Tribolium castaneum: one gene and its partners. The protein of the gene in region 1 purifies or fractionates together with the protein of each later gene. This does not show direct contact. Links are inferred from orthologs where the notes say so. Each region holds a gene or a part of one and is shown in the gene's direction. Other genes may lie near its edges. The genes, in order: transcriptional adapter 2-alpha, Atac2 and Sgf29.

Evidence for each region.
Region 2: the proteins of transcriptional adapter 2-alpha (region 1) and Atac2 purify together in Drosophila melanogaster (affinity purification with mass spectrometry; 3 studies listed by BioGRID, with this or other methods). This does not show direct contact. The link is inferred for Tribolium castaneum from reciprocal best matches to the Drosophila melanogaster genes Ada2a and Atac2.
Region 3: the proteins of transcriptional adapter 2-alpha (region 1) and Sgf29 purify together in Drosophila melanogaster (affinity purification with mass spectrometry, with the first as the bait; 3 studies listed by BioGRID). This does not show direct contact. The link is inferred for Tribolium castaneum from reciprocal best matches to the Drosophila melanogaster genes Ada2a and Sgf29.

Annotation. Positions count from the first base shown.
Region 1 is NC_087398.1:11,844,793-11,848,546, reverse strand, and holds the start of transcriptional adapter 2-alpha, read left to right. Parts: upstream 1-1,225; 5' UTR 1,226-1,306; coding exon 1,307-1,367; intron 1,368-1,410; coding exon 1,411-2,263; intron 2,264-3,754. Other genes in the region: rhodanese domain-containing protein CG4456, read right to left, coding at 465-896, 952-954. UniProt on the Drosophila melanogaster protein: Component of the histone acetyltransferase (HAT) complex ATAC; predominantly involved in acetylation of histone H4, including at Lys-6 (H4K5ac) and Lys-13 (H4K12ac).
Region 2 is NC_087396.1:22,635,472-22,639,225, forward strand, and holds the start of Atac2 (cysteine-rich protein 2-binding protein), read left to right. Parts: upstream 1-1,525; 5' UTR 1,526-1,594; coding exon 1,595-1,815; intron 1,816-1,868; coding exon 1,869-2,006; intron 2,007-2,057; coding exon 2,058-2,209; intron 2,210-2,261; coding exon 2,262-2,443; intron 2,444-2,490; coding exon 2,491-2,558; intron 2,559-2,603; coding exon 2,604-2,791; intron 2,792-3,056; coding exon 3,057-3,350; exon of another isoform or gene 3,351-3,395; coding exon 3,396-3,577; exon of another isoform or gene 3,578-3,629; coding exon 3,630-3,754. Other genes in the region: serine/threonine-protein phosphatase 2A regulatory subunit B'' subunit gamma, read left to right, coding at 117-162, 211-1,478.
Region 3 is NC_087396.1:14,033,236-14,036,957, reverse strand, and holds Sgf29 (SAGA-associated factor 29), read left to right. Parts: upstream 1-909; 5' UTR 910-1,187; intron 1,188-1,236; 5' UTR 1,237-1,339; coding exon 1,340-1,510; intron 1,511-1,965; coding exon 1,966-2,485; intron 2,486-3,335; coding exon 3,336-3,520; 3' UTR 3,521-3,607; downstream 3,608-3,722. UniProt on the Drosophila melanogaster protein: Component of both the SAGA and CHAT histone acetyltransferase complexes, which both predominantly acetylate histone H3.

The DNA of each region.
Region 1 (3,754 bases):
TAACATTTAAAAAATCCAACAAAGAAGACGAAAAGTTCGAGGAAACTGTCCCACGTTATTAAAAGTACGGAAGGGGGTCATGGAGTAGGTAAATGTTGTTTTCAAAACGGCGCTGATGTTTTTTTGCAATAAGTGTTTGTGTCCACATTGGCGCTGGATGCTCCTAACATCAACAAATGAAGAAATCGTATCTAATATCCACTTCAGGGCAAAACACATGCAAAATTATTATTTGGTTTTGCTTTTGTGAGTATTTTTGACTTATGGTGATCAGGCCTTTCAAAAGGTGTTATCATTCAAAAAATTTTTGACGAGATTTGTAGATTGCAAACTCTTTTTGACTTATTTTTTAACATTCCATGTTTATCACTTTTGTGCCGCAGTAAATAAGTAAATACGGCACTACCTAAATCCAAATCAAACTACAACCCCTACACTCATATAACGTATTATTTATTTACAACTCAAATATTTTTACTTTTTTCCTCCCACTCTAGCCACCCCCCGGAATAATTCTTTATATCTTTGAACCCCAACTTCGTCGCAATCTCGGACGCAAGGGCACTACGTTTCCCCGAACGACACGAAAAAATTAAGGGGGTGCTAGAATCAGGTTTAGCCTTTTTGTAAGTTTTTTGAAATTGTTCAGAAGGCATGTCTTTTAACACTTTCTCGACTTCGCCAAGTGGAATATTGATGCTGTCAGGAATAACTCCGGTTTCCTGCAATTCGTGGGGCTCCCTGACATCGATTAGAAGAGTCTTAGGAGTCGTTTTTACTGACTTGACTTCATCAAATGAGGCGATTTGCGTTGCGAAAAGTCTAAGAAAGACGGGCGTTTTGTTCACAAGGGAGAGGATTTGGGGCCCCCTTGATAGCGACATTGGTAACCTAACCTAAAAAATAATTATGTAATTAACTTAATTGATTAGTTTTTGTAAAGTGAACTACCATAGCGCCAATAAAGCGATTTTTACTATTTTTTATCGCCTGTTTTATTAAATTACGACAGTTTTGGCAAAAATCAGTTTGGAGACTTTTTACAGTCACCGTTGGTATCACACAATTCACACAAAACAAATTAGAGGTCCCGTGGCTACAATCAAATTTTCCCCAATTATTTTTTTTTTCACGTTTTATGCCGATTGCGTTCGAATTACATAATAATTTCATAAATAATCGTCAAAAAACACCGCACTAGTAAAGTGCTAGTGCTTTAAATTTTGCCAGGTAGGCAGCGCTTGCCGCTCACATAACCTATGCACATAACCTAAGTTTTTGTGGTATCCAAACAGTTTTCGAAAAAATGGCAAACGCAAACACCGACTTAACCGAAGAAGACGCCGCTGACTTGCAGTTTCCCAAAGGTGAGCCCCCTTGTTTACTTCTCGTTCTCAACTGAGGTTTCAGACTGTGGCCCCCCTGCGTTTTACTCTAGTGACTCTGATAGTGTTTGTTCGAATTGTTCGTGCGATTTGGTCGCGCCTTACATTTATTGCGCTTTGTGTAAAGTGAATATTTGTTCGCTGTGTTTTTCGAAAGGTGCGGAGTTTGGGGGGCACAAGAACGATCACGATTATCACATAATCCGCGACGATTTTCCGGTTTGGGGTAACACGGACTGGACGGCTCGGGAGGAGGTGGTGTTGTTAGAGTCGTTACAAAAATACGGGAACTGGAATTTAGTGGCGAAAGAGTTCCCAAATCGGAGTGTGAGGGAGATTAGGGCGCACTACGATTGGTTTTATTTAGACAGAAAGGGGTCCAAAGACTTGCCCGAGGCGAGCAAAAGGGACTGGTTTTGTGAGCCGGTGGTGCCCTACAGACAGCGGATTAGCGACACCGATGAGCCCCCTCGCTACTCCCCCAACACAGTGGGGTACAAGTCTTTGGCCGGTTATAACCCCGCGAGGTCCGATTTCGAATGCGAGTTCGATTCGTCGGCTGAGGATCTGCTCTCGAACCTTAAACCGGTTGATAAGGACGATCCTCATTTTGACTTGATCACAAATCTTCAATGTGCGATCATTCAGAGTTATAACCGGCGGTTGAGGGAGCGCCAAAGGTGGAAAAAAATCATAAGAGAACACGGATTGATTATTCTGCGGAAAGTTTACGCTTGGCTTCATCGGTATGACGTTACGATTACACGTCCTGTGTATGAAAAACTGATCCGATTTATGCAATTTTGTACTCCTGTCCAGTTCGAAATGTTGATGGAGGGGTTACACCACAGCGGCGAACTCAAAATACAAATTCTTAGGTTCATATCAAACGGTTGAATTAATATAAAGTTGGTTATTTTCCATAATAGCGGCTTATTGAGTTCCAAAAAAACACGACGGAGAAAAAAATGTTCACTAAAGATTAATAAAAACAAAGAAAAATGTTAAAACATACTTCAACAGTTAGTGGCGTGACGAAAAATAATACAATTTGTATTTTGGAAAAAAAAACACTTGTAAAATTCGATGAAAAATTCTCAAACTCTTCAATATTCACGGAATTTTACAAAACATTGTGTTCAACTCGTAAGTTTTTTCCAGAAAGAATTCACTTTTTCTATCTCGTTGCACAAATAGCTATTTACAATGGAACCGTTTTGGTTTAAAAAAATCTCGCGAAAAAAGTTATATCACTCGCTAAATGCAGAATTAACATTTTTTTCAAACAAATCGGCGCTTCAACACTCGAAAAAGCAAATATAATGCTAATTTCGTTCTAATCGCAATTTTTTTGGCTTCTTTTTGAGCAAATGTTGCGAAATAAATGTGTTTTTATGGATGAACGTGGTAATAAATCTCATAAATAGTAAAATATTGTCATCTTCGAGCAGATTTTTTAAGCAAGTTTAGCAAAATTTCAGTAAAAATTGCGTTTTACCTTAAAAAAACGAGCTTTAAAATATGATAGTTAAGAATATAATTACATATATATTTAATTATTTTATTTATTTATATAATATATAATTGTTATTATTATTTATATTTTATTATATTAAATATAATTAAAAATATAATATAATAATAACAATTTGGTGATTACGTTTTTTGAAGAAATGCTAAACTTTCGAAAAAGGCAGAGTAATTAAATTAAATTTCTCGTTCAAAAAAGGAACTTAATTGAGCAAAGTAAACTAAAATAACCCCAATTTAGATTTAATTCTGTGAATTTCTAGCTAGAGAATTTTTAAACACTTTAATTTTTACCTTAAAACATGTATAAAGGCTCACAAAAAGCTGCAACATAGCATTAATTTTGGTCTTTAAAAATCTTCGGCTTGCAAAAGCAAAAGTTTTGACTTAATTTTGTGATTTTTTTGAGTAACATCTTTTTTTGATTGATTGACAAAACTCCTCATTTTTTGGCCAAGAAAAACGATCGACTTTTGTGTTATCTCCTCCTGGTTTATGCTTTTATGTCATTTTTAAACACAATTTAAAAAAAAATGCTAAAACACGTGAAATTGCAAAGTAATGTTTTTTGGCGAAATATCACAAAATAAGAATTTTCTAATTATGTTGTAATATTTTAGACGTGTTTTGGCAAGATTATCCAAACTAAATAAGTAGTAAATTTACCAATCCAAAGTAAACAACAACAATTTCGATTTAATTTGTGGATTTTCAGTTAGTTTTTGCAATTTTTTTTATTTTAAAACATGCCCAAAGATACGAAAACGACAACATTAACACAATTTTTGGTGTAATTGTAAGGTTAATAAAAATATATGAAAGAGAATTTTTAGCTAAAA
Region 2 (3,754 bases), on another chromosome or scaffold:
AAATTGTATAACAAGGCCTCCAAACCCAAAATGTGGTGACCTTAGCCACCACCCGCCATTTTTTCAAATTGTCACAATCACAAGTTCACGGTTAGGTTTATTTTTTTGCGGACAAAATGGATTTAAAAACACTACTGCGGGAAAAAATAACGAAAAGTGGAGGTAAAAATTAATTCATTTAGTTAAAATTTCGACTGGTAATTTTGCCAGGTGCGAAAAAGTCGCCCCCCGAGTTGGAGCAACAAGAAGACGAGTACTTCCAACACTACATGAAGCAATATTGTGACAAACCACCGAACGAAACCACGGGCATTCCGCGTTTTTACAATAAATTACCGAAAGAAGATGAGCCCCTAAGGCAAAAACTGCGCGAGGAGAGCCGCTCCAATTTACTGAAACGTAAAAGTCAAAACTTGTTGGATAACAACGAATTGAAGGAACTGTGGGTGATTTTGGACCAGAACCAGAGCTACCCCGAGGAACAGTTGATAACGTACTCCGATTATCAGAAGGTGGTCACGCTGGTGGGGCCCAAAGTCAAGCCCTACTTCACTTCGGTCGTGTTTGCGAAGCTCCAACAGGGTGACCCCCAGGGCAGAGTCTCGATCATGTCGCTTTTTAACTACGTGATGCGTAAAGTGTGGCTACAGCAGACCAGGATCGGGTTATCGCTGTATGATAGTACGGGACAGGGTTACTTGACTGAAATCGACTTGGAGAATTATATCACTGAGTTGTTGCCAACTTTGCCGCAACTTGAGGGACTGGAAAAGTCGTTTTATAGTTTTTACGTGTGTACGGCCGTTCGGAAATTTCTGTTTTTCCTCGATGGAGTGCGTGCGGGTCGTGTGCGGATTTTAGACATTTTAGCTTGTTCGTTCCTTGATGATTTACTCGAATTGAGGGACGAGGAGTTGAGTAAAGAGGTGCAGGAACAAAATTGGTTTAGTGCCCCTTCAACGTTACGTATTTACGGACATTATCTAAATCTTGACCGTGATCACAACGGAATGTTGAATAAATCTGAACTTGCGGGTTATGGCTCTGGGACTTTAACGCAGCCCTTTCTAGACCGCGTTTTTCAAACGCTTTTGACTTATTCCGGTGAAATGGACTACAAAACTTATCTAGATCTAGTACTAGCTTTGGAAAATCGTGCCGAACCACAAGCTCTTGCTTTTTTGTTCCGCATCTTAGACATAAATAATCAAGGCTACTTGGACTCTTTCACTTTAAATTATTTTTTCCGAGCGATTCAGGAGCAGATGAGGGCCCATGGGGCCGAAGCTGTGTCCTTTGAGGACGTTAAAGACGAACTGTTTGACATGGTCAGGCCTAAAGATCCGGAAAAAATCACCCTGAATGATTTAATCGCCTGTGGGCAAGGGGACACTTTTGTCAGTATTTTAATCGAGTTTCACCGCTTTTGGGCCTACGAGAATCGAGAGGCCGTCACGGCGGAGCCCTCCCAAGACTGATGTTACAATAAATGCAATTTTACATAATTTTCGTCCATTTTTTTCAAAAACCCGCCATTATGGACGTCAATCACGTGACAATAATCTCGAAGTGAGGTTGTGTTTACAATCCAAAAATGAGCGAAACTTGCAAAATCTGTAAATATTGCACAAATAAATTGGAAGATTGTCTCGACGAAGGCCTAACGTGCAGTTCATGTTCGCAAAGTGTTCATTTGCGGTGTCTCAAAAGTGGTTGTGTGCCTGGGGGGCTTCACGGCGATATTTTTTTCACATTCACTTGTGAGGAATGTTCGGAGGCCGGGTCCGAGTCGTTTGTTAGGGAGAAAATGTCTTGGTAATTAGAAATGTAGTAGGTATTTAGGGCGTTCCGTGGACGAGTTCTTTTAGGTTAAAAGTATTAGTTTTGGCTTTGTATCATTTGCAGTCACGAAGTCCGGGTTTGGGGCGCAAGGGGTACTTCCATTGGAGGAACCACATAGCGTCACTAATCGACAAAAACTGGGAGAGTCTGTTTTTGAAGGATTTGTAAGTTCCAACATTTGATTATCACATATTTGTAATTGTTGGTTTTTGTAGTAAAAAGAAAAAAAAATGGGTTGGGACCGTTGCTGGGACTTTATCGCACTTCAGTACGTATTTTTTCAAGTCGGGGACTTCGGTCGTTAATGAACCGGCTTGGTGGGCCCTCACCTACCCCAAACTCACCCCTAACGTAATTTCAAATTTATGTAATTGAGTGAAATAATAATTAAAAAATCAGGAGTGAAAGTATAATTCCAGATGCTGCTCTCACGAACGAGAAGCAAAAAACGAAAATTTTAAAAATATCAGTCTCAGACACTGAATTATTCACACAAATTTTACACAAAAACATCAAAGACGATGATTTGCTAACGCCTTTATTCACTGTCGATGTTCCCAACTTTTCGGAAAAAAATCCAGACGATGAAACCAATAAAAAGGTACAATTTGTTACGTTTTGAACTTACAAATCATCCATTGTTTGTAGATTACTAAAAACTTTACCGTAAATAAAAGAAAAAGTCTTTTACCAACATTTGAGAGCACGTCCAAAAAGTAAGTTTTTCTGTTCAAAGTCACAACATAACAATGCAATTCTAGACTCTTAAAAATGAATAAAAACTCGCCGGTTTTTTCAAACTTAGGTGATGAATTAACGCCAACTTATCTCAAACAAAACGAGCGAAATTTGGGCGAAGCTCAGCCACGTAATAAGCCCCCAAGTGAGCAAAATAAGGAGTCTGTGAAATTGCTCGACCCGTTTTGTCACTACAACACTTGCTTTAGCAGTAAGTCAAGTGAGAGGTGTGCAGGACTAAAGCTAGGAGGCAAGACGAGATTTTTGTAAATATTGTAAAGATTCTGATTTATTGAAAAAGTTGAGAAATTAAGTTAAGTTAAGAAAGGTCATAATTGAATAAAAAAATCTGCCCAAGTACCAATTCCAAAAGGTTATTTTGCGCTTAAAATTTGCTCGATTTTTCGTCATGCCACCAAATATTTTGGTCCCCCATAGTCCCAGGGCTTAAGAATTTACTCCAAAAATAATTTTAGACGCGTTTAGGCAGAAAGGAAGCGAAATGAGAGTCAGGTTGATGGGTGGTATCAGAAAAGAACTAATTCTCTCACCTTACAGCAGCATTTATTTAAAACCTTACATACGAAGAGATACAGAAACTTATCCATCCTGGCTACGCCTAATGGCCGAGATACAAATGAAAGCAAACGAAAAAACACAAAATTACGTTCTACCTCCAAGGGCCCCTATTGACTACACCTACGTCCAACCTGAGCACATACCTGCCATTAACAGTCTCTGCAACAACTTTTTTTGGCCAGGAATCGATCGTAAGTGTCCGAAATGTTACAACACAATTTAATTTTTTGTTGCAGTAACTGAAAGTTTGCAATATCCGGATTTTAGTTGCGTAGTTTTGTACAAAAAATTAATAGTGGCGTTTGCGTTCCTCGTCCCCAATGTTAAATACACCGAAAATTACGTCTCTTTTATTTTTACACGGCCAGGATGGCGAAACGTCGGGATTGGAAAGTTCATGTTGTATCACTTAATCCAAGTAATTGAAAAGTCGATTTTTATTAAACTAGTTGGTTAATTAATTATTTCAGACAAGTCTCGGCAAAGATATCACACTACACGTGTCCATCAACAACCCGGCCTTGTTTTTGTACCAAAAGTTCGGTTTTAAGGTGGAAGCAGTCGTTTTGAATTTTTATGATAAGTATTTACGCGA
Region 3 (3,722 bases), on another chromosome or scaffold:
ACTGACTGATTTAATTTTTTTATAATTTTTGTATAATTAAGAAATAATACAATACTTTAATTTTTTGAAAAATTTAATTTGTTATGTTACTCAAGTGTACAATAAAAATGTTAACAAAATCTGTGTTTTATTACCCCAAAACAACTTTTTTTGTAAGTTTCATTTCAAATTTTGTTTAAAATAAATATAAAACGTTTTCATTTTGTTTAAAATGAAAATATATTTTTTTATTTTAAACAATTTGCAATGAAACTTGTAAGATAAAAATAATAAAAAACAATATAAAAGGAATTTATTCAAACGTGGCACTTTACCGTGGTAGTAACGCACTTCAGCACCAGAGGCGCTGGATTCTCGTGTTGCCAGTGATTTACTAGGGAATTATCACTTCTTAACCCTTTCTGTTCTGTGCTACCTGTCAATTCCTAAAACGTCTACAAACATCACGCTCTGCACAAGCGCGGCGCTAAATTTAAATAACACGATATTTTTTAATGAAATAAATTTTCAGATAGACCCAAATCGTTTTGAAACCAGAATTTTCCTGAAATATTTAAATTAAAAACCTCTATATCATTAGTTAGTTACATAATTAATAAGCAAATAATTTTTTTCATTTTAATCTAAAGACGCAAGTACTAATTAAATTCACAATCACAACCTCGTAGCAAGTTTACAAACACGTATTTAATTAAATAAATAAAAAATAGTTGCAATTTTTTAAATAGCGCCTCAAGGCCGTCGTAGTTCCAATGTGACAACACAGAGATAAGTAATCCTAACACAACATTATCTTATATAGAAAAAAAGGGAAACTTAGTGATATTATCGTTGCAATGTTAAAAACATTATCAAGCATTTTATTCCACAATTATTACTAATTAGTGAATTTTTTGTAGGTTTAATTGAATATATGTATTAGGTCGTGTGTTTCAAAAAGTAGTCTATTTGCACGGCTAACGTCAAGCACAGGCAAACAAAAATAAGTGTATTTTAAATTACGTGCATGTTATTTTGATAAAAAATTACCATTTCCATAATTAGTAGTTTATTGTAAAGTACAATACATAAAAGTTACCCCCGCAGTGCGACTTGTGCCCTTTTCCCTGGCAGTGCATCAAACAGTCAAATCAATGTTTTTTGATTTAATTGAAATAAACATTTCCACTAGAACCGTGTGTAGAATAGTCAGTGATTACTAAAGTGTATACTTTTGCTCTATTTTGGGCGTTTCAGGTACTCGTCACTTTAGTGTTGCTTTGCTGGTACCACGTTGTGCTTGTAGACAGGCACTTCAGGAACCCATATTTCTGCGGTGAATTTTAATTGCACTATTAAAATGCCCTTTAGTGCAGACGCAATCGCAGCGCAAAAAGTTCAGGAGCACTTGAAGTCGCTCTATCACACGGTTCATGAGATTGAGAAGAAACGCCAACAGAGTGAACAAGGAATAAACAACATTGTTAAGTTTCAAAATGGGCAAGACGAGAAGTCCAGCCAACATTATCAGGTGTGGATTTTCTGGCATTCGCAAAATATTTTGAGGCATTTTCCGAAAAAATAACAGTAATTTGGGGCCAACATTTTTATGTGTGTATCAGTGTGATTTGTTTTCTTCTTTGTGTCAACGACATTTGGTCCCTTTACCTCGGTCTTGTTCTCAGCGGCAATCGTTACCTAATAATTATGCTACAAATAAAAGTACTGATTTCACTGCAACTTACAGTTAAAATTGTTAAAACGTAAATAATTACAATGGCTTTTAAGATCTTTGATGACATTTTTCTGATCTTTGGCGGCTTACGGTGCCCTGGAAACGCTAAATTAAAAAAAATCGCCTTTGAACCACCTTTTAAAGCTCAATTGTGTTTCAAGTAAATATTTTTGTTTACGTGAATTTAAAGAATTCCATTGTTTCGATTCAATAAGAGTTTATATGATTACTGTAATGATTATATATTGTAGATGAAGCTAAAGAGCCTCTACAAGTCCTCAATTTCGCACGCCGAGCAAGAGGAGGATTTGCTCCGTCAAGCTCTTCAAAAAATTGCGGAAATCCGCAACATTAAGAACGAACGGAGAATTCAAACGAGACATGCTGGAAACAAAGAATCGATTCGTAGGGGCACTTGGATGAAGATGTTAATGAGTTCGGCACAAACATTGCCCCTTTTCGTCGGTAAAATAGACGAAAAACCTCCTGCTCTCTGTGGTGCCACACCTGCTGACTCTGGCTATGTGGCAAAAGTGGGCGATATGGTGGCTGCTTTGGTTAAAATTCCTGATGGAGATGGCGAAAACTGGATATTGGCTGAAGTGTACAGTTATAATCACGCCTCAAATAAGTACGAAGTTGATGATATTTTGGCGGAGCAGAATCAGAAACGGCGACATACTTTGAGCAAGAGAAATGTGGTACCGTTACCCCTAATGCGGGCTAATCCCGAGACTGATCCAACGGCCTTGTTTCCACAAGGAACTGTCGGTAAGTGGAGTTACAACGAACTTCCTCCTGTTTCAAGCACCGATTATGGCAAAACTCTTCGGAAAATTGAAACTATTTTAAAGTTGTCTTTGTAAAATGCTCTGGGAAATCGCTTGGCGTCAAGAAAATGACCAGATTCTTAATAATTTTTAAGATATATTTTTTACACTGTTTGCGATTTTTTTTAAAACTGTTAATCGCAGAACAATGGTCTTTTTTGTAAAAAGAAACAGATTATTAAGAGCTATCCAACGATTATACACTTATTAGGGTTTCGGCTAGTATTTCTGGAATTATTGCCCGATGAATGTCACAAACGTGTTGAAACATTCGGTGGTATGTTAGCACAAAAAAAATCTATGTAAATTTTTTACATTTTTATAATTATTTTATGGGATGTCTCGTGGTTTTTTTGTGTCTGTTTTTGCTAATAATTTTTACTCAGTGTAGTAGATTCCTCAGAGATCATATTTGTTTAAAATTTTTATTAGTAAAGTTTAAAATTGCTCGCCAAATTTAAATTTATTCGCCATCGCCGACGAAAATTCAGAAACCACAAATATTCGGATAATGCAAGTTGAGTTCTTTTGAGCTCTACTCACATTCCTTAAAATATTTGCACAACTATCAAATTATTACTTTTTCGCAAAGGATTAATGTTTTTTTACAATTCTTTCTTATTTCGTCTTATTTGACAAATGATATAAAGCAAAAATAACAGCTAAAAAGACACTCTTTGTTAATTTATCTCTTCTAATGACCTCGGATATAACGAACGGATTTTGACACATTTTCTGAGTTCGTTATAACCGGACACCACGTAAATTAAAATGTTGGTTTTGCGTTTCAGTTATGGCTCTATACCCAACTACGAGTTGCTTCTATAAAGGCATTGTGAACAAGCCTCCCGCAACACATACTGATGAATATGAGATTTTGTTTGAAGACGCTGCGTATCCTGAAGGCTACAGCCCGCCCCTGTATGTGGCCCAACGCTACGTCATTGCCATAAAACAGAAGACAAAGCAAGCCTGACATTATCTTTCAGACACTATGTCTGATTCTGAAGCTTCAAGTTTTATGGAATAATTTATTGGGTAGTAAACATTCGAGAAACTTTCATTTTGTGTTATATTTCACCAATTTATTATTCATCTTTACATGTACATGAATTTTTTTTACATTTTTGTTATTTTCTAATCTAACTTTTAAAAAAATGGAACTCCTGAAAAAAACA